Rattus norvegicus: one gene and its partners. The protein of the gene in region 2 interacts with the protein of the main gene of each other region in a biochemical or structural test. Links are inferred from orthologs where the notes say so. Each region holds a gene or a part of one and is shown on either strand. Other genes may lie near its edges.

Region 1 (3,500 bases), on a different chromosome or scaffold from region 2:
CAATTAAAAGAATGAATCACAGGGTTGGGGATTTGGCTCAGTGGTAGAGCGCTTGCCTAGCAAGCGCAAGGCCCTGGGTTCAGTCCCCAGCTCCGAAAAAAAAAAAAAGAAAAGAAAAAAAGAAAAAAGAAAAAAAAAAGAAAAAAGAAAGAAAGAAAGAATGAATGAATCACCAACAGTACGGCAAAAAGAACTCAGACAGACAAGAAAATCCCAAACAGCAGGTAAGATTCCATCCAGTGGTTCCCAATAAGCCATGTTTAAGCACTCCTGGGGGACCCTGCAGCAGGCAAATCTCTATTTACAAACCAGCTCAGACCTGGCCTTACCCTGGGCAGAATGGTGGTGGTGGGCACTGCACACCCAAGCAAGTTGTGCTGCACTGAGATCAGTTCAGCTTTCTCTTCTAACAACAGGTCTGAAGGCCACAAGCACAGCCTCTTACTGGGATGTGGGGCATCCAACAGAACACAACAGACGGGAATGAGTGAGATTCTTCGCTCTCCTTTAGTGCTTTGAATTGAACTCAGCACCTGATGTATGCTAACTAATCTACTGGGAACTTACAGACCCCTGTTCTCCTACTCCCCTGTGGCACCTGTGGGCACAAAAGCACCCAGGAGCTTAAGCCTGACACAACTCTCCCTCTGCCTCGTGTGGTACATCCCGATTGGTTGGGACTAGAGACCACTCTAATTATATGCGCCTCTACCCTGGCTTGTCATCCAAGCCGGCTCAGCAGTACTGACTTTATCCCAGCACTGACACCTGTCTGCTAGACCAAGCATCCATAGACATGGCTCCCAAAGGGTGGCACTGGGAAGTGGACTGCCGGCTCTCTGCACAACTTACATTTTGGTGGTGAGGACGGATAGTCATCTTTGAAAAGCATCCGTAGCTTGAACAAGCCTCCTTCCCACGGAGTCTGTGGGGAAGGAACCAGAGTTAGACCTGTGGCTCACTTGCCAAGGTGAGCCAAGAGAAGTTTCCTTAAACCTGGGTCCTTCGGGCCTGTTCTCTACACTATTACTGTCCCCCTAGGACCAAAGAAGACCCCCACCATGCCTATGAGGAGCTTGGCAGTTGCTGGAAAGCTTAGGATCCACAGTTCTTGGGTGTCTGAGACACCAAAAAGCTCAGCAAACAAAAGCTAAGCCCAGCAGCTCGTACCTGCACTATTCAAGCCAGCACCTCAGATCTATCAAGGTGGGGAGAGCACACCACTCGCCACCAGACGGTTTTCCTACTCTCAGCTCATGTGATGGAAGCACTACAGTGCCCATGCCCCAACGTGACTTGAGAGACAAGCACACCCTGGCACGTCAAAGACCCACCTCACACTCACAACAGAGCCTGTACAGATGAACCCAAACTACGGTTTTGCTCAGATACTAAGCTGAACCCGGAGGCCCAAGTTTGGACAATGTCTGAAGTTAAAGGAGACCCTCCCTCTCACATAGGCTGGAAAAGAGTAGACAACTGGATGCACTGAGGTCAATGTGTGTAAAGAAACACAGCCTGTGCTCTCTGTGGACACTTTACGACCTTCACCAGCTCCTCACCTCAAGGCTGGTCACCAATCCAATGATTTGCCAGGGTCCAAGCCTCCCTACCCCACAGGCCACTCCTTATCCTGGGGAGAGCTGTGACCTGTGGCTAGCTGTGGTCACAAATCCATGTACTCAGGTCCCTATAGTAGTTCAGCTCCCTTGAACCTCTTAAGTTAGTAGGTACAAAGCCAGTGGTCACCCTTACCCCCTTCTTTCCAGGGATAGCACACTCCCAGTTCATCAGGTTCATCGTGCCATCAGGGTTCTTTGTTGGGACAGCCACAAAGCCCTGAGAAAGAAGTCACAAAACAAACCAGCTCAAGACAACAAGCCTGGCTCTCACCCAGTGGCCACAGGCTGAGTATACCAAGTCAACGGAAAGCCCCTCCTGTGACCAGACACAGGCTGCTCCTTACAAAAGGGTGGTCCTTCCTCCAGGCTTTCCTCTCCTGCGCAAGTCGGCTGAGGGCAATCCCCGACATATTCAAAGTCCCTGGAACGGAATCCACAGAGGGAGGGTTAGGTAAAGCACACACACATCTTCTAAGCCACATCCCACCCCAGCCAGAGAGGGCTGTCACCAAGAAGCAGGTAAATGAGGTGGAGCCCAGCTGGTCAAGCTGCCCTTGGAGCAAGTGCGAGCATTGCACTTTTGACCAGTCCTCAGAACACCTCCAGGCAGGCAGGTAGAGCACCAGTGCTGTCTCTCTTGTGCTCTACAAACTCAACTGCTGGGAGGTACAGTGAGAATAGCCTGCAAAAAGGCTGTCCCCTCCCTGGCAGGCATTGAGCATCAGCGAGACTTAGCACCCACTCCACAGTCAAACTCTCAGGACAGGTAGGGGTTCGCAGGTACCTCACACACTCATCTGAGGCTAGGATGTGTCTTGCTGGTTCACCAAGCACCATATAAAACACCACAAAGGTAGAGTACTAGCCTGGGAGTTAGAGGAGGGTTCAGGAACAAGGGCCCTGAGACCCCGGCTTAGAATCAGGTCCAACAGGAGGACAATCACTACTCCTAAATGTACTAGTGAGAAAAGTCCGCACCATAGGGCAGAGCATGGCAAACTTCCATAGGCAGACTACCCCAAGAGGCCAGACTATCGGCCTGCAGCTTATCAGCTCACAGTTCAGAGATCTGCCCTATGACCCTATGGGAACGAAGGCAAGATCCAGGTCAGGCCAGCAGCCTCTGCCAGGGACCATCTTGGCACACTTGGACTCCATTCAGCATGGGTGAAGGAGCATCTTCACCTAGGACCGCAGCCTGTTGTTTTGACTGTGACTCCAACCTGGATACCACCTGCTTGGGTTTTTGGTTTTTTTTTTTTAAACCTCTATATCCTTTTTAATATTACTTAAAAAAAAATCACATGAAACAGTAATCAGAGACTCCCAAACCTACAGAGCACTGGGATTTTGGGGTGTGTGCATCACAGGGACACGACCCCTCATGAACAAGAATCTAGTAGGGCAATAGGTGTTTCATACCGAATTGCTTCTCAGAGGTTCCGTTTTTTCTTTTCTCTTTTTTTTCTGGAGCTGGGGACCGAACCCAGGGCCTTGCGCTTGCTAGGCAAGCGCTCTACCACTGAGCTAAATCCCCAATCCCAGAGGTTCCTTTTTTGACCCCAGCTTCAGGCTTCTATTGGTCTTGTGGGTAAAATCTCCCAGCAAGACTAGCACTAGCCTAGTCTTTTGTTTTCAGCTCAAAGTCTTCACTCTGAGGTGGAACCTTCAATTACCTCTGGACAAGAGCAAGATTCTTGCTAGAACACACTCCTGTTACCACCTCAGACAGGCCTCAAGCAGACATCCCTAGAGTTCCTGCTACTTAGACTTAGCTCAGGCTGCCCATTTTACCTGCAAAGCCATGACTACCCTAGGAATTACTGTGTGTTCTTGACCTAGCCAGGGCCTCTCAAGCTTACACAGCTGCCCGGCCAT
Region 2 (4,008 bases):
TGCATGTAGTCATTTTCAGATAGCACTCCCTGAGGCTGTAGTTTCAACTTTTCAAACACTATTTAACCTGCCCCTATCCAGCTTACTGAGATTCCTGGGGCCTCCAAAGGAAAAGTCTACTCTTTTTTTTTTTCTATTCTTTTTTTTGGAGCTGGGGACCGAACCCAGGGCCTTGCGCTTGCTAGGCAAGCGCTCTACCACTGAGCCAAATCCCCAACCCCAAAGTCTACTCTTAAGACATCTAAAGTTCGGTGGTGACAAATACTAAAATGTACTGTTTTTACACATCACATTTTTCCCCCAAGAGGGGCATTAGAAACGCCTACGAGCCAGCGGACCTCATTTTGAGTGACAGTTCCCTGAAGCTCCCCCCCACCCCCCACCCCCAGCTCCAGGATGCCTCACTTACTTAGTCTGCGCAGGAGTGCGGTGGTTGGTATTGGAGCAGAAGATGTTGGACTTGCGAGTACTGTCGAGGAATTCGCGCACTGAGTTGTCGCGGAGCTCGGCCAGGGGCCGGGCCTCGTGTTTGAGGTACCACTGGTGTGCATCAAAGCACTTGCCACACATGAGCTGTTCACACTCGAAACACCAGAAGTCAGCCAACTCTTTGCAGCGAGTGCACGCAGCCTGCGCATCCACAATCTGCCGGAACACCGCCAGGCGCCGCTGCAGGCTCTCGAAGAACACGTTATCCAGGGCCTCCGCATTAGCATTGGCCGACCCCGGTGCCTGGCAGATCGGGCATTGCAGGCCGGGCGCCTCCAGGCATCCGGAGCATAGCGTGTGCAGGCAAGGCAGCAGTTTGGGGCACTTGGCTTGGGTCTGGCAGCCCGGGCAGCGCAGAAACTGAAATTCCTCCTTTATGGCTTGCTGGTGAACCAAGGAGAGAGAAGTGAGGCCTACAGAAAGCCCCAAAGTCCTGTCCCCTCCACTGGCCACCCATTCCTTCAGCTGGAGGCTGGAGTAGGTAGGACCTCACATTCCATTCCTGGGAGTCACTGGATCCTGTCCTGGCTTATCGGCAGCCCAGTTCCTCATTTACTGAGGCCTTGCAGCTCTCGCCACACAATTTACTGGACTCCCATCTACTTATCCTCAGACTCACTAGTAGACACTGAGATACAAGACTGGATACATCTTTGCCTTTAAAGAACTCGAGTCTGGAAAAGTACCAACTTCATATAAAGTGCTTAACACAGTTGGTGGGATAGTCCTCAAAAAGTTAGACTTAAACCACCAGAACTTCTACTTTTCATATATACTCAAAAGAACTGGGAAAAATATCCAGGCATATAATTATATACTAATGTGCCTAGCTAGCAACACCACCACAAAAGTCACAGTGACCCAAGTGTCCATTAGCACAGGAATACGTGAACAACACGTGGCTGCAAATGTAACGAAATACTATTCAACCTTAAAAAGGAATGAAATTTTTGATACATTCAACAACCTGGATGAACCTTGAAGACATTGTGTTAAATGAAATATGCCTGCTATAAAATGAGAAATACTGTGTAATTCCAGTCATACTAAACAATAAGACTAGTTAGTTCATAGATACAAAAGGTAGAGCTGGTGTGTAAATGGTCCAAAGTTCTCAGTACAGTACTGGGCACATGAGAAGTACCCGTTAATGTTAACTAGTATTTTTAACCCTCAGTTATACAACGCTAATATAAAAAGTTATGGCAATGTGGCCTTATTTGTGCTTTTGTCAAGAGAAAAAGGAATGAAGAATAGCGGGATGGGGGTAGTTCCTTCAGGGGGGGTTGAGGCAATACTTCCGGGAGGACCATGAGCTAGGCTTCCTTAGGAAAAGACCCATGACCTTGGGGATGCATACATTAATCCCAGAGCTCAGAAAGCAGAGACAGGTGGTCTCTAGGAGTTTGAGGCCAACCTGGTTTACACAGTGAGCTCCAGCTAGGCCAAGACTACAAAGTGAGACCCTGTGTTCAAGACGATAAAATAAAATAAAAATCCCTAAACACCTCATACACATAAAATAAATGTATGGAGAGAGAGAGAGAGAGAGAGAGAGAGAGAGAGAGAGAGAGAGAGAGAGAGAGAGACTGACTCTGCATGGATCATGTTGGTTTTAGCAGGCACTTTGATCTGGACCAGGTTTTGTTCTGTTTTGTTTTGAAACAGGTCTTGCTGTGATGCCCTCGGCAGTCTTGAACTCTCTTTGTAGACTAGGCTGGCCTGTAACCTGTCATCCTCCTCCAACTCCCACATCCCAAGTTCTATTGCTCCTGGGATGTGCGACCACTGCTGAGAAACTGGAAGTGTTTGTGTGTGGGTCGGGGTGGGGGTGCTATAGTTAGTTCTGCCATGCCTGGGACATGCCTTTAGCTCCAGGCCATGGCAGAGATAGGAGATAAAGGGCAAGGCTTCAGGGAGTAGGAGTTGCAACCCAACTGTCCCCAGGGCTTCTGTAACTCATCCTGTTCCTATTTTATTCTACGCTATCAGTTCTATCCATGCCCAGTCAGGGGGTTCAGGACCCTGGTGTCTCTTTAGGACACTAACTCACTTTTCTATAATGACCTTCTCTGTTCTCAACTTCCCCACCAAAGTAAACGAATAAAAAACCCTAGCATCCCCTCATCTCCTAATCCAGTAGTACCTCCGCGGGGCTTTGGCTGTGTTCATGGTCTTCGGAGGGTTCCTCTGGGGGAGGCATGGTGGGCGTGGGGATCAGGGCAGGATCCAGTTGCTGACAGAGAGATCCAGAGGGTGCAGGCGCCTTCTGCGTAGAGCCTGGTTCAGTTTCGATTTCTGGATTGGGTCTGTGAGGGCGGGAAATGCGTCCCAGACTTGAGCCAGAAAAGTGAGCTGCGGGGAGGTGCCCGCGGAGGGCCCGCCTCCCGAGAGGAAGTGAGACAGGACTGGGCGGGTCTAGGGGCGGAGAGGCTCGTTCTGTAGTCTCCCTTCTAAAGTTAAGAGAAAGACTGCGAAGTTATGGAACAAACTCAGATAGAGCCAGAAAGGTTAACCAAACAAGCACGTAAACAAGCCCGGCAGGCTGGCACAGCTCTGTAGCAGAATGTTCGCGAGCTTGACTGCTCTACAAGTAAAGATCCTATCACGCACTCAGCATGCACACTAGGAGAGATGCAGAGCTGACTGCCTAACAGAGAGGCGTTTATTTCCCGGACTGGGAGCTATTCAACTCACCTCACAGTTCTGTGTCTTTCTAGTTAAAAGCCAGGTAGAGAAATAAACCCCCTCTTTGAGCGAGCCCCCAAGTGACCCTAAATGGAGACGTCGACCCAGTATTGGGATGGGTTTGCCTGGAAAGGCATCCCTCAGCTGAGAATGAAGCATGAGATAGAAAATCACCAGGGATTCAGGGTTGCACGGACACTCTAAAGAGAGGCACGCACCTGGAAAGGAGTGGAGGTCTAAAACAAGAGAGCCAGTTTGGGAAGTAGTTAGGACCATTTTCAGACTTGAGATGGGGCTCCTGTGATGATGTCAGAGAAGATTAGATTAATCATAAAATGAGAGATGAACCAGTTCTGTATATGATCAGAGAGTTGGTGAAGGGTTTGCTACAAAGTGTCAACTTTGTCTCTCGGATGACCTTGAGGCAGGTGGCCTATGAAAAGTGGTTGTGGGAGGCAGCCAGACCTGAGTCAGTGGAAGGACAGTGATGACAGAACAGGATGATGTGACGAATAGGTCTGGTGAATGTGCTCTGTATGGAGGTAGAGAAGTCAGGGAGGAGCTGGCCAGCAGCAGTGAAAAGAACAAGAAGATAGAAAGTTAGCTTTTTGGCCAATGAAAAGCAATTCAGAACCCAGTGAGTGAGGAAAGCACACAACTGCAGACACTCTCATTGGACAGTGCCTTTGGCTTCTGACTTCAGTCTGTTCCCACCCACTTTTCTGGCCCCTGTGTGCATCCACCCTACTCTCTGTTCTAACTGATTAGAAGGGATGGTGTAACTTAAGAGTTGGGGCGAGTTGGGTGCTAAAGGGAAACCCAGCATCCTGG
Region 3 (4,293 bases), on a different chromosome or scaffold from region 2:
ACCTCAGTTCCTATCTTTAAAGTGTTTCAGTTTTTTAAAGGCGGATCCAGCTCCGTAATGTAGGACACATTAAGTGCTTAACTGTAGATAATGCAGTGACTATATTAATTCCAATTGTTAAACGTGGTGACAGCCGTCAATGACAAACTATTAAACAAGGAGAAAGGAGGCAAAATGGAGGCCAGAGATTGAGGTGCCTAGGGCAAATTCTCTAACCTTTTTGATTGCAAAAGTAGGTTACCGTGCTTTCTACTAGGAGGGTAAATTGAGTATTTTGAGAGCTTGGCTTCACGAAGTTCTCCAGAGTGCGTCATTCTCAAAGCCGAGTGATGGGAGTGAACCCTGCCTGGCCCGTGGTTTAGCGTGTCTGGGGCAGCTTAAGAAAATGGCGTTTGCTAGAGCTTCCCAAAAGCCTTCAGCTCAGTGGACTTGGGTTTTCGTGTGCCGTCACCAAGCTGTCGTCCCGCCCGCCGCCACAGGGCTTCCACCCACGGCGAGGGGGAGCCGCCCGCCCATCCCGGCAGGGGTGACATTCGAGAGGTGCTGTGTAGGAGCGGTGAAGGGAAAACTCGAACGGTCCCGGGTGACGCGACACCCTCGCCCTCGCGCGTCTCAGCGCTGACACTTGTGGAACTGCAAGGCTCCGCTAAAGCGTACCACCTAACGAGGAAAAGAAGCCTCTTGAGGAGGGCCAACATGGCGACCAACTCCACTTGGCACAGCCCGGTTCCCTCCTCATGAGGGGCGGCCCTCTAACGACTATTGGCCAAAGCTAGAGGCGGTGCCAGGCTGCTTTCGCTGCCTCATTGGCCTGAGTATCTGAGGGGGAAGCCTGTTCTCCTCTCCCCATTCCAAGTTCCAGCCTTCACCTTCTACTCGGCGTTTAATTGGCTGTTCATTCACGTCAATATGAGCCCTGTTCCGGTTCTTTTCAGTTGTTGTCCAATCAGAACTTTCTTAACTGCCCGCCTGAATTCTGATTGGTTTAGAAAGCTTGATCCTGTCCTATTCCGGCCTATTTCTTACTCTTCTCCTAAACGGACTTTGCCCAGGCATGCCCAAGATTCTGGTTGGTCGTTGTCCTGTCTTTCTTACCTAATCTCCTCCTATCCCCACCGCTCACGGAGCCCGCCTGGTGGTTGACTGGTTTCTCTGCAAGTCCATCTTCTCATCCCGCCCATCACCACTTCCCGAGTCTCTAATTGGTTGTTAAAACTGAGAGGGCGGCCTTTCTGGGCGGAAACCAGGCACGCAACTTGGTCTTACACGCCTCAGAGAGAGAGCGAGTCTTGCCATTGGGTAGACTGCCCGCCTTTCCTCTGCAAGTCCCTCCTTTCACCCTCCTTCATTGGGAGGGGCAGCAGATAAGGGGCGGGGACTAGGCCGGGCTTGTGGCGCGCTGCTCCCTCCTCCTTACCCCCCCCTCCCTGTCCGGTCCGGGTTCGCTTGCCTCGTCAGCGTCCGCGTTTTTCCCGGCCCCCCCCAACCCCCCCGGACAGGACCCCCTTGAGCTCGCCCCTCAGCTGCCACCATGAGCGGTAAGGATGAGTCCACTCCAAGCCTAGGGGTGGGAGGGGAGTGAGGGGGCGCGCGCGAGGGCCGACCGGGCGGTCCCCGCTGTGAGGGGGGGCGGGCGGGAGGCGGCGGCGGCGGCCTTGGTCCCGCCCGGGGCGGAGGGAAGGGAGGGAGAAGGGGCAGTGGCGGGGCCTCGGAGGAGGAGGGGGATGGGCTACCCGCCCCGGGGGAGGGGGCAGCCTGGCCTCGCCCGCCCCCTGCCCGCCCCGGCCACGGGGGACGGGCCTTACCCCCCACTACCCGGCCGGCCGCCTGAGGCTCCTCCTGTCGGGGGCTGGCGCCGCGGGGGCGGCCCGACCAGTGCAGGCCCCGCCTGGGCCAACCGCCTCCCCGGTCCGCCCTCCGGTCCCAGCCTGCTCCAGGCCCTCCCCCGCACCCCCGTAAATTTCCCTTCCCCCATCCGACCCGCCCTTGCCACGCCCCTAACCCCGAAACCGCCCCTTCCTTCTATGGCCCGGCCCCTCAGCCCCAAACCTGGGTTCTAAGCCCTAAACCATTTTAGCCTCTTACCTGCCCTCTTCAGATGTTTCCTCACCTCCACTTACAATTTACCCTTTCTCGGCCCCTTCCTGTTTTTGTTTACACTTAATCTGTCTCCATCTCTTTTAGTCCTAATTTTAGCCCACTTTCCATCCACCTATGTGTTGGGTCTCCTTTTCCTTCCAGGATGCTTTTTTGTTTTTCTTTTTGAGATAGGGTCTATGTGGTACTCGTAGTAACTCGAAGTTACTATGCAGACCTCAAACTTTTAGCTACCTAGTTGCCTGCCTCTTCCTCCTGAGTGCTGGGATTAGAGTGTGCCATCACTAGGCCCCACTTTTTTTTTTTTTTTTTTTTTAATTTCTGAGACACTGCTCTCAAATTCCCTCAAAAGTGCTGTTTGCATTGAGATCAGTTCTTACTCTGTAGGTCTGGCAGACCTAGAACCACCTGGCTCATCCTTCCAAGTCTTGGGATTATAGGTGTGAGTCACCATGCCTGGCTTCCAAAGCAATTTTTGAGTCATTTCTGGGGTTAATTTATGCCTGGGAAAATAGTGACCTGTCTTGGACACCATTAAGCCATGTGCCTGCTCTGCATGCCTATGGCTTTGGCATCTCAGTTTAATGTGTAACTGAGAATTTCTTTGAACTCTTGTCTCCACTTCCAAAATACTGGGATTTTAGGCCTACCACCATAACTAGCTGTATCTGACTAATACCTTTAAAAAAAAACATTTTATTAGTCATTGCTGGTGGTCAAAACGTTAATTTTAAATCTTAATGTTTTTCCCCCTCAACTTATTTGTTTTGTAATTATTTTTAGACCAAGATCACTCAATGGATGAAGTGACAGCTGTGAAGATTGAAAAAGGTGTTGGTGGCAATAACGGGGGTAGCGGGAACGGTGGTGGTGCCGCCTTTTCTCAGACTCGAAGCAGCAGCACAGGCAGTAGCAGCAGCAGTGGTGGCGGAGGAGGGCAGGTGAGTGATCAAAGATGGGGAAGGTATTGAAAGGGTATAAGTATTCTTAGAAACCTCCTTAACCAAAAACTCTGGGAGAAAGTACAGTAGGGAAGTACACACAGAAAGATAGGTGATCTAGAGGGTCCCCAAATAGGAAAGTTGGAACAGTACACAGAAGTTAGCATTTTGTTTCTGGTTTTTGCTCTTTATATGCCTGCATTGTTGCTGTTTGTCTGTTGAATACTGCCCCCTAGGCCAGCTATTGGGTGCCACTAACTCCTTTCCTCTCTTCTGGCCAGGAATCCCAGCCATCTCCTTTGGCTCTGCTGGCAGCAACCTGCAGCAGAATTGAGTCACCCAATGAGAACAGCAACAACTCCCAGGGTCCGAGTCAGTCAGGGGGCACAGGTGAACTTGACCTCACAGCCACACAACTTTCACAGGGTGCCAATGGCTGGCAGATCATCTCTTCCTCCTCTGGGGCTACCCCTACCTCAAAGGAACAGAGTGGCAACAGTACCAATGGCAGCAATGGCAGTGAGTCTTCCAAGAACCGCACAGTCTCTGGTGGGCAGTATGTTGTGGCTGCTACCCCCAACTTACAGAACCAGCAAGTTCTGACAGGTCTACCTGGAGTAATGCCTAATATTCAGTATCAAGTAATCCCACAGTTCCAGACTGTTGATGGGCAACAGCTGCAGTTTGCTGCCACTGGGGCCCAAGTGCAGCAGGATGGTTCTGGTCAAATACAGATCATACCAGGTGCAAATCAACAGATCATCACAAATAGAGGAAGTGGGGGCAACATTATTGCTGCTATGCCAAATCTACTCCAGCAAGCTGTCCCCCTCCAAGGCCTTGCTAATAATGTGCTCTCAGGACAGACTCAGTATGTGACCAATGTACCAGTGGCCCTGAATGGGAACATCACCTTGCTACCTGTCAACAGCGTTTCTGCAGCTACCCTGACTCCCAGCTCTCAGGCAGGCACGATCAGCAGCTCTGGATCCCAGGAGAGTGGCTCACAGCCTGTCACCTCAGGGACTGCCATCAGTTCTGCCAGCTTGGTGTCATCACAAGCCAGTTCCAGCTCCTTTTTCACCAATGCCAACAGCTATTCAACAACTACCACCACCAGCAACATGGGAATTATGAACTTTACCAGCAGCGGATCATCAGGGACTAGTTCTCAAGGCCAGACATCCCAGAGAGTTGGTGGGCTGCAAGGGTCTGATTCTCTAAACATCCAGCAGAACCAGACATCAGGAGGATC
Region 4 (2,614 bases), on a different chromosome or scaffold from region 2:
GCCAATTCCTTACTGCAGACCCATCTGTGTAGGGCTACCCTCGACAGAGAAATACAGCACCTATGGCATTGCCAATCAGCTCAGGCATGGCCACAGTCACACCCCAGCACTCCCACAGCTCTCCTCAGAATACTTCCTACCTTGGTCTCATCAACTAACTCCCTTAAGTGAGCATCATGGAGCCCAAACCCATCTGCCTTCACTCATCCCTCAAAATTCAACACCAAGACCACACTCACCACAGCTGCTGCCCATCGACTCTGAAGGAGCCACGGCAAAGCAGCTTAATTTGGTCCCCTACTTCCCTAGGGATTGTCATGAGAGAGGCAGCAGAGAACTCTGGGGGCTGGGAGTGGTGGGAAGTAGAGGTCTCAATAAACCTTCAGGATCTGATGGCTTTGTGGACAAACATTTACTTGGCTCCAAATACGAGCACCTGGCTTTTCCTTATTCCCCTACTGTTGGGGTTTTACCCCAACTCCAACAATAACAGAGTCAGATTAAAGGAAACCTTGTATTTCACAGGCCTCATTTCGATGGCAAAACAAATGCATATTACAACAGTAATAAAAATACAACACTGGAGAAGACTGCGCAGGAAGGAGTAGAGCCTCCCATCCTGTTATGGCTCGGTGGTGGCTCAGGCGGCTGCTTAAGGCTGAACGGTGGGTCTGAGATGAACCTGCAGAGTAACTCAAGCTGAGCCTCACCTGCCAGGCTCAAGGCTGCAGCCCTCTGGACTGCACCCCTGGACCTTGAAGCTGGGTCTGTCCTGGCAGCAAGGCACAAGCTGTGGGTCTCAGGGTTCTTGGAGGTCAGGCAGGTCAGACAGCAACATTGGGGAGTCCATCTGGATCTCACGCTGCAGAGACTCAATGTCAGCGGGGTTCATGCCGTGGCCCTCAAGCCAGTCAGCAAGGAGGGAGGCTGAGAGTGAGGCTGAGTCTGCCTGGCTGTAAGGAAAAGAAACAGGGATGGTGTTCTAAGCCTTGGCTGGCTAAGCAGCCATTCAGACCCTCCACTAAAGCTCAGTCCAGCCATCTTACCTATCCTGTGGCCCATCAGCCACACCCATGTCAAAAGATTGGTTTAAGAATTCCTCCAGGTCAAAGCCAACACCGTAGCCAGCCCCACTGCCCTTTGGAGTGCCTGAGAACACGGGAGGCAGGGGGTCCTCCACCTGCAGGGGACAATAACAGGTTATAACACAAGTGCCAGGAAGGACAAACTGAGGTCAGCAGAGCACACCCTGATATTTCTGACTAGTCTGCCCAGATATCCTAGAGCATCAACACTGCCTTGAAATCACCCAGTGCTAGCGCAGGTGAGGCTGTCTCTAAGGCAGACATTTTCCAAGCAGCGTCCACCTCCCAACCACCTCTGCAATGGCCTTCTGTGTTCCTTCTATGAGCAAGGGGGCAGGCTCACGGAGGGAAGACTCCCTCTGCTGCTTCCTCTCACCCAACATGGACAACTACCCCACCCACCTTCCAGGACCAGGTCAAGATATCCTGAGCCTTCTCCCTTCTCACCTGAGACTTGGACAGTTGCTGGGTCACCAGGTTGACATCAGGTGACTCTGATGTAGAAGGCTGAGGGGTGAGCCCAGGATCTGGAGGTGGTGGGCCAGATGGGAAGTAAGGCAGAACTTCTGGGGCACCAGAACCAGGCAACCCACTAGGTGGCACAAGTGACTGGGAGGCCAAAAGGCTAGTGGAAGGGGCAGTCTGGAGAGGGGCAGGGACAGGGCCAGCAGGCTGGGGAACAGGCCCAGGGGGTGGGCAAACAGGCTGGGAGGCAGGACCAGGAATAGAGCCTGCAGGCTGTAGAGGAGCAGTAGACTGAGATACAGGGCCATTGGGAGGACTAGTGGGTTGAGCAGAGGACTGTGTTGGTGTTGGTGTTGGTTTTGGTGTTGGTGCTGGTGCTGGTGCTGGTGCAGGGACAGGAGGCCTAGCCATGCGAGTCCACCGCTCTAGCAGGCTTCGGTCATTGTCACTGAGCACCAATCCAGCCAAAGGGTCAGTAGAGGGGCCCCCCAAGGTGCCAGCCCCCCTCTCCTTGCGCTCCCGCTCTTGTCGTCGCTTCTCCCTCTCCTTGGCTCTCTCTTGTCGCCTCCTGCGCTTCTCTTCTCGCTCTCGCTGACGTTCCTGAGCTGTCACAGGCTTTCGAGGTTCAGGGGCCTCCAAGGGTGCACTGGGCCCATCTGCAGAAAAGTTGGAAGGTAAGGACTTACAGATCTGTCCCAGAATCCCTGCCTACCACTCCACTACCCACCCAGGTGCTGGGCCCACAAACCACCTCGAAGCCGGCTCCTCAGGGACTTGAGCAGAGCAGCTTTGAGGGCTGCTTTGGTATTGTCGGAGATGGCACCCTCTCTTTTTGGCGGAGCAAGCTCACTGGCGGGCGGGGCAGGCTGCAGAGTCAGATCAACAGTGTCAGGGGCAGGGCCAGAGCATGGTGGTAGTGCTGGAGGAGGTGACTCCATGGCACAGTCTCCACTTGGAGCCCAGGGGCTGGGCATCTCGACATCTGGACACACAGGCTCACTAGCCACAGGCTGCAAAGAGGGCTGGAAGCGAATTTGTTGGCGGATGCCCTCCCGTCGTGCATG
Region 5 (4,056 bases), on a different chromosome or scaffold from region 2:
AAATGTAAACTCGTCCGTTTCCGTTTTTTGAAGTTTAAAAACAAGGCCCTTGTAGCAGAGGCTAGTCTTGGATTCCTGAACCTGTGTCTTCCACTTCTCAAGTGCTTAGATCACAGGCATACCTATGACCTATATACTTATCTAGCCTTTTAGTTGAATCAGTCTCCGCAAATTGTCTAAGCTAGACTTGAACTGTGGTCCTTCTGCCTCAGTTCCCACGAGCTGGCTGGAAATTACAGGCCCGCAGACGCCGCCCCAAGCCTTGATCTCTAGGGTTACGAAGCCTGAGCCGCCCTCCAGTCACACCGCGCCGCCTGTACCAGTTCATGAGGCTGAAGTAGTCCCGAGTGGGGTCAGGAGGCTGCAGCGCGCGGCAGTGTGCGCAGAAAAACTCATCCCCACGCCCGGCTCCCATCGCGCGGCCGCAGTTCCAGCATTGCGGCTCGATGCTCTTTCCCGAGGCGGCATTGCTGCTCAGCAGGCTCCTACCAAGGAACCTAGCCAGTCGCACCTCCCACACGCACAGCAGGGACCGAGCCCTGCAGCTCCACATTCGTAAGGCCGCCTGCTGGCCCGGGTTACCAGACCGGAGAAAAGGGAAGAAAGTGGCTCGCTGCTGATTGGCTAGGGAGCCGAGGAGGCGGGACCAGCTGCGGGAAACCAAGACGCCGAGTCCCGTTTTGGAAGCTAAACTACAACTCCCAGAAAACCTAGAGGCTGTGCGGGGGAAGCCACCTTTGGGCTTTCTTATTGGTCCTGCCGAGGAGGAAGGCCTTTTGATTGGCTGAGGGTGGAGTTTGTATCGGTAGGTTTAGCGCCACACCACTGGCTGCGGCTCTGGAGTGTTTGTAGCTCTTGGTGGTCTTGGGCGGTGAGTCATAACTGGGGAACTTTCTGTTTGAGTGTTTGAGGATTCGAATACCGTTCTCCGGTTATTTGTGCAAATGGGCCCTCCGCAGCTTCCGCTTTGTCTGCTTACTCGTGCGAGCGAGGGGGCGCTGTGCATAGGCAACCCTTTCTTTTTATCTGCCCTTCTGGGGGGAAGTTCACTTTCCTTGTTACTTGCGAGCTGAAACAGGTCTGGACACATAGGAAGGTACAACGCTGGGCTGTTTGGTGCCAGAGCGAAGTAGTTTTCATAACGAACATTATAAATGTTCATGCCAGCCCCTAGATTGCTTTTTCCCAAATACCAACTGAGAACCCAATCTTCGCTGCTAGGCTCTGCAGGAACTGAAGAGGGTACGTCAGCGTACTCAGCATACGTGTGGGGTAGGATGGCAAGGAATGGATAGGAGACAACCAAACAGCATCTGTACATGAAGGAAGATGGTCTAACGCTTTGTAAGTGGCCTCTGTAATTCTATTCATAATCCTGGGATTTTGCTGTGGTCACTTTTTTTTTTTCACCCATCATTGGGCCTGCCTTTCTTTTTAAGGTGGTCATAATGTGCCTGTTCCTTTAAACTTTTATTTAAAAAAAAAAAAAAAATCACGTGTCTGTGTCTAAGTTTGTGCAGTGCACACGGGGGCCAATAGAGGGCACTGTATCCCCCAAGAGCTGGAATTACAGGTGTTTGTGATCCTCTGGTTGTGGGTGCTGGGAATTGTACACTTTTAACTGTCTTCAGTTTGGATGTTTGACGATACGGGAATGGGATCCAGTGCTTTGCATCTGTTGGAGAAAGGCTCCACCATCTACCATTGAGTTATAGCCACATACCTAATTTTTGGGTAAAGATTCACTTTACTTTTAATTATGTTATGTGGGTGGGAATGTATACATGCTCTGGTGCTTGCAGAGGCCGAGATCTACTTCAGATCCACCGGAGTTGGCGTTACAGGCAACCTTGAGCTGCCAGACTAGGTGTAGAGAACTTACTGAACTTGGGTTTTGCAAGAATAGTATATGCTTCTTCCTGCCCAACCAATCTCTCCAGCTTCCGTTCTTTACTCTTGAGTCCTGAGCCTTGTTCCTTATTGTTGGATTCGTGCTCTCAAGGTCGGATATGAAGAGTCATCAGTCCCACGGCAGCACCTCCTCGAAGGCTCATGACAGTGCTTCCTGTTCACAGTCTCAAGGCGGCTTCAGCCAGTCCCAAGGCACCCCCTCTCAGTTGCACGACCTCTCACAGTATCAGGGTGCATCCAGTTCCTCCACCAGCACAGTGCCATCCTCCAGCCAGTCCTCCCACTCCAGCTCTGGGACCCTGAGCTCTTTAGAGACAGTGTCTACTCAGGAACTCTGTTCTATTCCTGAGGACCAAGAACCGGAAGAGCCTGGACCTACTCCTTGGGCTCGGCTATGGGCTCTTCAGGATGGATTCTCGAATCTAGGTAAGGCACTTGGTAATATAATATATAGTGCGTTGTCGAGAGAAACAGTCAGGGAAGGTGATTAGGTTGTTGTAGCAGAAACCTCAGGGCCCCTGTAACTGGCTGTGGTGGAGAGTGTCTCCTCCTGGCTGCCACTTCATACTGAGGATCAGATTTGGGCCTCTCGCATGGTAGAGAGGTTTTAGACTAAGCTATCCCTGGCTCCCTTATCTTTATTTTCAAATAGAATCTTGTTAGATTTCATAGGCTGGCCTCAAATTTTTTTTAAAATTTTCTTCAGAGAAAAAGGTCCCATGTTGTCCTGGGTTAGCCTTGAACTCACTACGTTGCTCAGCCTGGGTAATGAACTCTTGGTCTTCCTGCCTCTACTTCCCAAGTGCTGGGTTTATAGGCACACATTACCAGGCTCTACTCATTGGTGAGACAAGGAATTCTGCAGCCCAGGTAGGCTTGGGACTCACGATGTAGTTCCTTGTGACCTTGAACTTGCATTGATCTTGTCTTAGTTGGGATTACACATGCCAACCACACATGGTTCAAATTTATTCATTTGAATGTGGATTTCCAACTCATCCTGAGCTAGTTTGGAAAGATACTTGTATTAGGGTTCACTAGAGGAACAGAACTGATAGAATGATGTATGTGTATGTATGTATGTATGTATGTATGTGTATATATGTGCATATATGGGGGCTAATTAGAGTGGCTTACATTGCTGTGGTCTAGCTAATTCAACAATGGCTACCCATGGGAGGTCTAAGAATCTGGTAGTTGTTCAGTCCACAAAGCAGGATGTCTTAGCTGGTCTTCAGTATACATTAGAATCCTGTAGGAGTAGGTTCTAATGCTAGCGGAGGGATGAACTTGCCCGTAAGAGTGAGTTCAAGCTGGCAAAGAGAGAGCAAGCCTCCTTCTTTCCTGTCCTTTATATAGGCTGCCAGCAGCGGTGGTCCAGGTTAAAGGTGGATCTTCCCACCTCAAAAGATCTGGATTAGCGCAGATGCGGTGGTACCAGGAAGCAGGGGCAAAATGAGCTCTGAGTTTGAAGGTAGCCTGGGAGTTCCAGGATTGCCAGGGCAACATAGAGAAACTCTGTCTCAAAAGAAACAAACAAACAAACAAACAAAAAACCAAACAAAAAAATCCTCAACAAAACAGAACAAAGCAACCCCAAACTGGGGAAAGGGGGGTGTCTATTAGATCCGTTTATACAATATGGTCCAGGTCATCCATTAATAGTTCTCTTCATGATGGAGAGACTTAAAACCTAGTAGCTGCCCAGTGCACAAGTCTCAGCGGTGCCAGTTTGGCACCGGCAGCCTGGAGGGTTCCTAGAGAGCTGCTGATCTTCACTCTGTAGTGGAGAGAAGTGGCAAAGGAAAGTTGCAGAAATAATGAAACAGACGCACTTACCAGCGAGAAGCGCAGGCAAGCAAGCAGGCAACCCTTTCCCCCTCGGACCTTTCTGTCTTGGCTCATAGAACGTGATGCCCCACTCTGTTGTAAAGTCTCTTCCTTCCAGCTGATACTGCGAAGACCCACCCAGAGGTCTGTCCCTTAGTTTTCAGATTCAGTCAGGTGGACAGTCGAGGTTAACCATCAATCACACTTACTTTCTCATGTCCCCAGGCCGGCTGTTCTCACCTCACCTCCTGGATGAAAGGTTGTAGATGAGGTAGTGTACTCTGTTGTGTGTAGTTTCTACTATCCCACTTTAGT
Region 6 (3,248 bases), on a different chromosome or scaffold from region 2:
ACACCAACACTTTCCCTTTAAAGGACCGGCTCTTCATTCCTCCTTAAAGGTACCGGGTCCCATCTGCGGCTAAGGACTCAGGAATTGATTTGGCCGAAGCCTTCGCTCCCCTTTAATCCTGCAAGCCTACCTTTTCCCATTGACCAGTACTGGCTTCCGCTCCTCAGGCTCCACCCCGAGCCCTGGACATTAGCTCGCTCGCGGGATCTAACAGCCCTTTTCCCAGCGTATGACAGAACCCCTGAAGCCCCGCCCTCTTCCTCCGGGCCAGGATTGGTCAAATAACCTTGAGTCAGCCCCTGATTGGCCTTTTCACTCATACCGCTCAAAATAAGAAAGTAAAGCGGCTTAAGAAGGCTTCTGAAGCACTTATCTTTCCAAGTGCCTAGAGGGAGGCTCAAAGAAGGGTAAGGATGAGGGCACCCTAAAAAGAGGTCCAGGCTAGAAAGGGCAGATCCAGGTGACAGCTGTCATAGGAGAAAGACAATTTAAGAAAAGAATACAATAAGAAAAGAAATTCATTGTTTATTAATGTGTCTGTGTAAAACTTAAAACATCTGATTTTTTGTCAAAAGAAACACCACCAAAACGGGAGGAGCTCTGTCCATCATTTGCTCCGTCATCTTCTAACAGCCATTAGAAACCCTTCTGGATGCAGGGACTGCTAATCAGAGTCTGAGAGCACGATGATCTCCTCGGGATCGCACTGGGTGGCCACACTCGTCTGCAGACAAGTCAGGAGAGAAGGAAGGGTGAACCAGGCATGATGGCCCACGCCTTTAGTTCCAGCACTCAGGAGGCAGAGGCAGGCATCTCTGAGACTGGGGCCAGCCTTGTTATATACAGAGTTCTGGAACAGTCGGATACATAGAGACCCTGTCTCAAAAACAAAACAAAGCAGGATGGAAGGCTGAAGATGGCTTGGCCACTAGACACACTGCTGCTCTGCAGGAGACCTGTGTTCTGTATCCAAGACTCACATGGCTACTTAGTGCTGTCTCTGTAACTCCAGATCTAGAGGATCAGGCGCCCTCTTCTGGCCTCCATGAGCACCAGACACAAATGTAACACACATACATACCAACAGAACACCTAGTTACATACAATAAATCACTTTTTGTTTTACACGGCCTATGTAACCCTGACTGTCCTGGAGCTCATTCAGTAGACTAGACTGTGGCACTCAAGTTATAGACATCTGTATGCCTCTGCCACCTGGATGCTGGGGCTACAGGAATAAACCACTATGCCGGGCAAAATACATCTAAACACACATAGACAGTCAGTCTTTGAGACTTTGTGGGTTTTTTCCTCCCCTTTATCTACCCCATCACTAGATAGGAAAGAAGGATAGAGGGGAGAGATAGGGATCTCTGAATCTAATTTCTCTCTTCTTTGAGCAAGACTAACATACCACAACCAACCCCTGAGCTCACACCATGCCTCTTGGAGGAGGTGGGGTGGTGGTGGGGTGGTGTCTACCATTTCTACGCTCTCTTGAAAAGTTCCACAATTCCTAACCATCATGTTCACACAACCAAAGCAACTGCCTGTAGCTGGCAAAGCCACAGCTCTGCTGAGCTCAAAGTGAGTCACATTCAGCCACAGTGATCAGTTGGGAGCAGCCCCACATCCCCACACTGGGGATTAAAATGAAAGCCAGCTCTTTCACTGTTTTTGGTTGGTTTTGGGGTTTAGACACAGTTTATCTGTGTAGCCCTGGCTGTCCTAGAACTCACTTTGTAAACCGGGCTGGCCTCAAACTCAAGAGATCCTCCTGCCTCTGCCTCCCAGGATCAAAGGCATGTGTCACCACTATCCAGCTCTGAGTTTTAAGAAACCAAAATTCCAAAACTGTCACTGTACACACATGCACGCACTACCCACTGGCGAATGGGGGAAAAAAGAGGAGGTGCAGCCCCCACAGAGAGTGAGAAGGTGAAAATGAACTGACAGGGGAACCCCCCCCAGCTTACCTTATAAATACAAGGCCGGGGAGACTGAGACTGGGGAGTCTGGAGTATCAGGGATGGAGAAGGGTTGCACAGGGAGCTGGTTACCAGCTCATGGCTGGGAGAGTCCACCCTCGTGGAGGAATCAGCAACAGGACCCACAGAGGCCAAGGGGGAGGACGGAGTAGACAGGACACTTATCTTCCACCCACTGTCCTGCTGTGCCATCGTCTGCTTTTTTACATAGCTAAGGACAGAAGAGAAATGACAGAAGGGGCCTGAGGCCGCAGGGAGACCTAGGACACCAGGTTCCCTTCAGGGAATCCTGCCTCCTTGCCTGCCTTCTTCCTCACCCGACGTTACCTGTTTTCTAACGGCCCAGGTCCCAGTTGCTTCTTTTCCTTCCGAAATCTCTTGCTTGGGGGACTGGCATCTCGACAAGGGTGAGAAGAGACACGCCCATTGAAGGACGTAGAGGTAACCATAGCTGCCCCATTTTCCAAGATGGTGGGGAGGGAACTGTCTGACTTTCTCCTGGAAGAGGAAATGCCCCTTTCCTCAGGGGAAGGGATGGTCTCCTCAGGCAGAGCTTCCATGTCTAGCTCAGAAAGCTGGGACACGGGACTCTCTCCTGCCAGGAGCCGCTCCTGGAGCTGCTCGCCGCTGCTTTCAGCATCGGTGCTGGGAAGGCCCGGGGATGCTTCCAGCGGGGATGCTGGCGTCCCCGTCAGTCCTCTCTCCTGCTGCTCCTCCGGGGACCTGAGCCCTTCTGTGGGTGCTGAGTTCCTTCTGCGGAAAATGGGCGAAGGGGATGTGGGACTTTTATCGTCTTCATTATCTGGAAAAGAAAAGGGGGGGTGGAATGAGGAACAGGGGTGGAGAGAGGAACAGGGGTCGGGGGGCTGTGCAGGGAGGAGGAGGAAGGACAGGATCAACAAGGAGGTCATGTCGGACAGAGCAGAACCTCTACCACAGGGGCGCTCCGGTTATGCATATACCTCCTTCCTCCTCCTCTTCATCATCCTGATCCTCCTGCAACTGTTCTAAATCCTCATCTTCATCTTCGGTGGCCTCCTCCTCCTCCTCTTCCTCTTCCTCCTCTTCATCATCACTTTCCTCATCGTCTTCCTCATCCTCGGTCTCAGCCTTGGGGGTAGTAGGGTCCTCCTGGGATGCCACTCCACTAGGACCCTGGGGGAAAGAGGAGTCCCTCTTAAGGAATCCCTTGCCACACAGGTTTTTGGTAGTATGAGGACTTGACTCTGGGACCTTACTAGTGCTACCCAAGCACGTCAC
Region 7 (4,300 bases), on a different chromosome or scaffold from region 2:
CAATAAAACCATTTTCACTGCTACTTTCTAACTAATTTTGCTATTGTTATGAATCAATGTAAATATCTGTATTTTCTGGTGGTCTTAGGCAGCTCAGTCCTTAGACACCCCCCCCCCCGAAAGGGTCACACCCCACAGGTTGAGAACCAGTGTTCTAAGTGTTTACAATTAAATACTCTACCAAAACAAACAAAAAACTCACAAAAGCTCATAAGCTAAATAAAAATAGCAATGACCAAATAAGATTTTTAATTTTTACAAGCTTCAACTGTAATCCAATAGTAGACTAAATCATCTGTTTTTAAAAAGTACTAGTGTGCTCTAAGCCATGGGGATACCTCTAAGGTCTGCCCTGCACAGGACAGCAGACAACGTGGGCTTCTACATACAACCTTTCTGCCAAGCCTCTGAATAAAGTACTTCAAAAACAACGTACTGGTGTAGTTTAGTGCTAGAATAAACTTAGTAAATGCACCAGGTCCTGAGCTACAAATCAAGCATCCAAACCAAATCTTTTCAGTTTGGAGGGAATCCTGGAACTAGCTCTGTAGAACAAGCTGGGCTCAAACTCAAAGAAATGCCTCTGTCTCCCTAGTGCTGGGATGAAAGTAGCCCGCAGCCACCGCCCAGCTCCAAAAAAAAATCTTACAAATATTAAAATACTGTATGACTAGCCTCTAAGCAAGGGTGTGCTAACAGTAAACAGAAAATGAGCACCTCAGTGTCACTTTGCACACTGTCTCCAACTAGTTTCAACCCAAGTTCCACCCTTCACATGTTAGGCTTCTAGGCTTCTCTTGTCCTTAAATTTACACACACTATGCACATCAACAGGGTCATCAGTAGGAAGAGTATCTCACCTCTGAGCCTGACACTGGCAGTTAGGCTCCATAAGAGCTCACAAAGCACAGACCGCATTTTATATAACTTTGTATTCTAAATATCACTTGGTAACCACCCAAAAGGTATCAGCAACTCTGAGCTGACTCAGAACAAAATCCAATGACTACATTGTGGCTTTAGCACAATCCAAGACTTAAATGGAACTGAGAGTCATAGTTCACACTGCTGTTTTATTACTTAGGTCTTTTTAGTTTTGCCTCTATTATTACCTGTAATATTTTCCTCTAATACTGGTAGAGAAAGGTAGAAGATTCAGTCAGAAGTAGACGGCAGAACTTGTCAAGAGTTTAAGTTAAATTTAAATGCTTCCCCTCCTGTTCTTACATTGATATTCTAAAGTTAGTTAATTTCACTAACAACTTATTAGGCAGCTTTGCAAAATGCAGGAAAGCTGATGTCAATAAGGAACAAGTAAATCATGCCTCCACCCACAAAAAAGTAGTCTTGAATTCTGCCAAGATAAGGCTGTTTTGCAAACTAATCAAAATTATTCAGTCTATGGGTGAGTTTTAAAAATATCTGGCAAAGGTGGTATACAAAGGTTTCTGGTTGCTAGTCTATGCCTTTTTGCACCTGAGATTTTTATCACACAGGTGTGACATTCTTTAAAAATCTGGGATGGAAGACCAGTGAGCCAGCTGCCGGCAAACCCAAACCACAACAAAAACAACAACAAAAAAAATCACCACCTTCTGGCTACCGGGTTTACCTACGTGATGCTCTCTGTGCATCTTGCTTCAATTAACTTCAAAATAGCGCTTTAATTAAGAGGGAAGCAGTGTAGAGTGAGGAGGAATCATCAGTGGAAAAGCAGATGTTGAGGCGCTTAAGTGATGGTTCGGAAAAGGCTCCTGAATTTCGATTCTCAGGACTCCAAAAGCTGCCCTCTGACCTTCACACTCAAGCCCTGGCTCGCGCCGCTGCCCCCACGCTTAATTTTCCTTCCTTTAATTAAAGAAAAGATAATCTCCAAAGTTCCTATTTCCAAAATTAGTGTTCCTTGAGTATCTCCCAGACGATCTCCTCGCGTAAGAGTAGAAGAATCTACACGGTCCTCGGAGGCGTGCGCACTGCGCCGGGAGGATGAATGAATGGAAGCCCGGCGCGTGTGAAATGCAGGTCTACGGCCAGCCGACCCGCTGGAGCGAACTGTAGGCCTCGCTCCTCCCCCTTCCCTCCTCCATGACAGCCCAGTCCCGGCGTGGAGGGGCCAGGACAATGTGATCACCTTCTCGGCCGGCCCCCTTCCCCGGCCCCCGGAGGTGCGCGACACGACCCCTGGGCGTGCTCTCCACTCAACGCCACAGCCCCCAGCTCCCCGCGGGACGCGCTCCCCTTCTTGCCGCGCCCCGCCCGCCCGGCCCCGCGCGCCCACCGGCTCCGCCAACCCACCCTCCTCCACAGCTTGAGAGCGCGGCCCGCACGAGGACCCCGGCGGCGGGGCGCGGGCGACGGCGAGGCGCCGCTGCCTCAGGCTCCCTCTGACTCTTTCAGGCCAGCTCGCCGCCCACCCGCCCCGCCAACCACGGTGCCCGCTAGGAGCCGCCCGCCCCACGCCCACCGGGACCCCAGACCGATCCCGCGCTGGCGGCCCGAGCCGCCCTCCGCCGGCCGCACCGCAGGGCCGCGCGGCGCCCCTCCCCCACCGACCCGGTGCCCGGGCCCCCACACGGCGTGTGCGCTCCACGCTGCCGCCGCCAGCCTCCCGGCGCCGAGGCTGCCCGCGGAAGGTCAGGCCGGTGGGAAAGGGGCAGGACGCGGCCGGAGGCGCTGTGCGCGCCGGGAACGCCGTCCTGCGGACAGTCCCTGAGCGGAGGAAGCCAGAGCGCGGGGACCTCGGGGGTGGGGGCCGAAGGCAATACTCACCGGTTCCACAGTCGCCATCTTAGATCGATCTGATCGCACAACCGCTCCTGAAGGGGGGGCGAGAGGAAAAAAATGAGATTCAAACCGGATTGGCCGGCTCCTGCCCACGTGACGGACGTGTCCGTTTGGCCCTGGCGGCGCCTGCGCAAGACTGCAGCTGCTTGGGGAACAAGAGGCTTCTGGGAAGTGGAGTCTCTTTTTTTTTTTTTTTTTTTCTCTTAAGGCAAGGAAGTTTTTTCTCCCAAAAAAAAAAAAAAGTGATCACGTGGTCGCTGGCGAGGGTGCGCGGCTCCCAGCGCCGCCCGCACTTCCTGCAGAGTAGGTTTTAGGCCTCTGCGGTGCAGCGGGCAGAGCTCCGGTTGCTCTCACTGCTGGGCATTCCTGCTGTGCCCTCTGTCGCCCAGTCCTCCCATCTTTCCTAGAAGGTTGAGAACTGCAGGCTCAGCACACGCAAGAAGGCTTCATTTGCTTAGCTGAGGTCCTAAGACAAGTTGCTTGTGTTTTTATTTAGTTTTCTTTTCGCCTCCCACCATTTTCTCTTGGTTTCAGAAAGAGGCGGCGATGGAGAGTCGTTGATGAGGTCTGCGTTCCCCCGTCCCCGGTCCACTAACGCGGGTGGTCCCTTGCTGCCATCGCTGCCCAAGCGGGTGGGCGGGCTTGCCCACGGTACCCACTCACACGCTTGGGGAAGGGGAGTGCACGCGTCGGCTTTTCCTGTTCCCAGTCCTGAGATGAAGGCGTCAGGGGTGAATCTTGCTGGACGTAAAAAGTTTGGAAAGTTCTGTCCAATCGGTTCCAGTATTCTGCTTGGACGTGAACGGAAATAGCCTACGTCCAGGTGCCAGCCAGGGAAGCCACTCCGGGCTCCGCTGACTCAGCCCTGGACTGAGGGTCAGGAGTCGTTAAGCCGGGTCAACTATGACTCTTGACGTTGACTCATGCTCCTTAGGCGAGTGACTTAATCACTCAGCGCCTCAGCTTTTTCATTTATGAACCAAAGATGATAATACACTTACCTCACAAGGGTGTGCTGTGGTAAGGACTGTAACCAGCTTTGAAAACGCTTCGGAATCTAGAAGCAAGCGCGTGCCTTCTAAGCACCGGCTGCCTCCGCCTCCGCTGCTGTTTTAACAATTTTTTTTCTTGACCCTGGGTCTCCTGTAGCGCACGGTGGCTTTGAACTTAAGATGTAGGGGAGGATGGTCTTGAACTGTTGATCCTCCTGCCTCCACCTCCCTGTCAAAGTACTGGGATTACTGGCACGTGCTGGTAGTGGGGGCGGGGAGAGCCCTTTTTTGCTGAGAGGGATGGAACTCGGGGCTTCGGAGTGCTAAATAAGCACTCTACCAACTGAGTTATATCCCCAACCCTTAACAATGTTTTAAATTTTTCTTTTGTTTACTTTGTTACGTACACCAATGCAGTTTTAAAGTTTCAAGACTTTGCTTTTCTTTACGAATGTCGCTGCTCCCAACAGAAACTTCATGTTCATGAAATTATGTTCATAACAACTTCTAACAAGCAGAAATTT

Evidence for each region.
Region 1: of the proteins of Pml (region 2) and Ube2i, one has a biochemical effect on the other in vitro, tested with the Homo sapiens proteins (13 studies listed by BioGRID, with this or other methods). The link is inferred for Rattus norvegicus from reciprocal best matches to the Homo sapiens genes PML and UBE2I.
Region 3: the proteins of Pml (region 2) and Sp1 form a complex in vitro, tested with the Homo sapiens proteins (2 studies listed by BioGRID, with this or other methods). The link is inferred for Rattus norvegicus from reciprocal best matches to the Homo sapiens genes PML and SP1.
Region 4: the proteins of Pml (region 2) and Mapk7 form a complex in vitro, tested with the Homo sapiens proteins (2 studies listed by BioGRID and IntAct, with this or other methods). The link is inferred for Rattus norvegicus from reciprocal best matches to the Homo sapiens genes PML and MAPK7.
Region 5: the proteins of Pml (region 2) and Chek2 form a complex in vitro, tested with the Homo sapiens proteins (2 studies listed by BioGRID, with this or other methods). The link is inferred for Rattus norvegicus from reciprocal best matches to the Homo sapiens genes PML and CHEK2.
Region 6: the proteins of Pml (region 2) and Daxx form a complex in vitro, tested with the Homo sapiens proteins (2 studies listed by BioGRID, with this or other methods). The link is inferred for Rattus norvegicus from reciprocal best matches to the Homo sapiens genes PML and DAXX.
Region 7: the proteins of Pml (region 2) and Eif4e form a complex in vitro, tested with the Homo sapiens proteins (4 studies listed by BioGRID and IntAct). The link is inferred for Rattus norvegicus from reciprocal best matches to the Homo sapiens genes PML and EIF4E.

Annotation. Positions count from the first base shown.
Region 1 is NC_086028.1:14,791,755-14,795,254, forward strand, and holds part of Ube2i (SUMO-conjugating enzyme UBC9), read right to left. Parts: intron 2,044-3,500; coding exon of another isoform or gene 2,033-2,043; coding exon 1,967-2,032; intron 1,840-1,966; coding exon 1,756-1,839; intron 926-1,755; coding exon 853-925; intron 1-852. UniProt on the Homo sapiens protein: Accepts the ubiquitin-like proteins SUMO1, SUMO2, SUMO3, SUMO4 and SUMO1P1/SUMO5 from the UBLE1A-UBLE1B E1 complex and catalyzes their covalent attachment to other proteins with the help of an E3 ligase such as RANBP2, CBX4 and ZNF451.
Region 2 is NC_086026.1:67,552,089-67,556,096, forward strand, and holds the start of Pml (PML nuclear body scaffold), read right to left. Parts: upstream 2,801-4,008; 5' UTR 2,693-2,800; coding exon 2,636-2,692; intron 874-2,635; coding exon 410-873; intron 1-409.
Region 3 is NC_086025.1:135,418,557-135,422,849, forward strand, and holds the start of Sp1 (transcription factor Sp1), read left to right. Parts: upstream 1-1,493; 5' UTR 1,494-1,531; coding exon 1,532-1,538; intron 1,539-1,682; exon of another isoform or gene 1,683-2,539; intron 2,540-2,880; coding exon 2,881-3,038; intron 3,039-3,319; coding exon 3,320-4,293. UniProt on the Homo sapiens protein: Transcription factor that can activate or repress transcription in response to physiological and pathological stimuli.
Region 4 is NC_086028.1:46,669,221-46,671,834, forward strand, and holds the end of Mapk7 (mitogen-activated protein kinase 7), read right to left. Parts: coding exon 2,302-2,614; intron 2,207-2,301; coding exon 1,533-2,206; intron 1,181-1,532; coding exon 1,047-1,180; intron 954-1,046; coding exon 800-953; 3' UTR 501-799; downstream 1-500. UniProt on the Homo sapiens protein: Plays a role in various cellular processes such as proliferation, differentiation and cell survival. The upstream activator of MAPK7 is the MAPK kinase MAP2K5.
Region 5 is NC_086030.1:51,477,868-51,481,923, reverse strand, and holds the start of Chek2 (serine/threonine-protein kinase Chk2), read left to right. Parts: upstream 1-1,256; 5' UTR 1,257-1,344; intron 1,345-2,002; 5' UTR 2,003-2,009; coding exon 2,010-2,337; intron 2,338-4,056. Other genes in the region: iron-sulfur cluster co-chaperone protein HscB, read right to left, coding at 321-553. UniProt on the Homo sapiens protein: Serine/threonine-protein kinase which is required for checkpoint-mediated cell cycle arrest, activation of DNA repair and apoptosis in response to the presence of DNA double-strand breaks.
Region 6 is NC_086038.1:4,971,473-4,974,720, forward strand, and holds the end of Daxx (death domain-associated protein 6), read right to left. Parts: intron 3,144-3,248; coding exon 2,951-3,143; intron 2,791-2,950; coding exon 2,316-2,790; intron 2,200-2,315; coding exon 1,977-2,199; intron 877-1,976; coding exon of another isoform or gene 793-876; exon of another isoform or gene 725-792; coding exon 665-724; 3' UTR 501-664; downstream 1-500. UniProt on the Homo sapiens protein: Transcription corepressor known to repress transcriptional potential of several sumoylated transcription factors. Down-regulates basal and activated transcription.
Region 7 is NC_086020.1:229,739,253-229,743,552, reverse strand, and holds the start of Eif4e (eukaryotic translation initiation factor 4E), read right to left. Parts: upstream 2,801-4,300; 5' UTR 2,788-2,800; coding exon 2,770-2,787; intron 2,368-2,769; exon of another isoform or gene 2,296-2,367; intron 1-2,295. UniProt on the Homo sapiens protein: Acts in the cytoplasm to initiate and regulate protein synthesis and is required in the nucleus for export of a subset of mRNAs from the nucleus to the cytoplasm which promotes processes such as RNA capping, processing and splicing.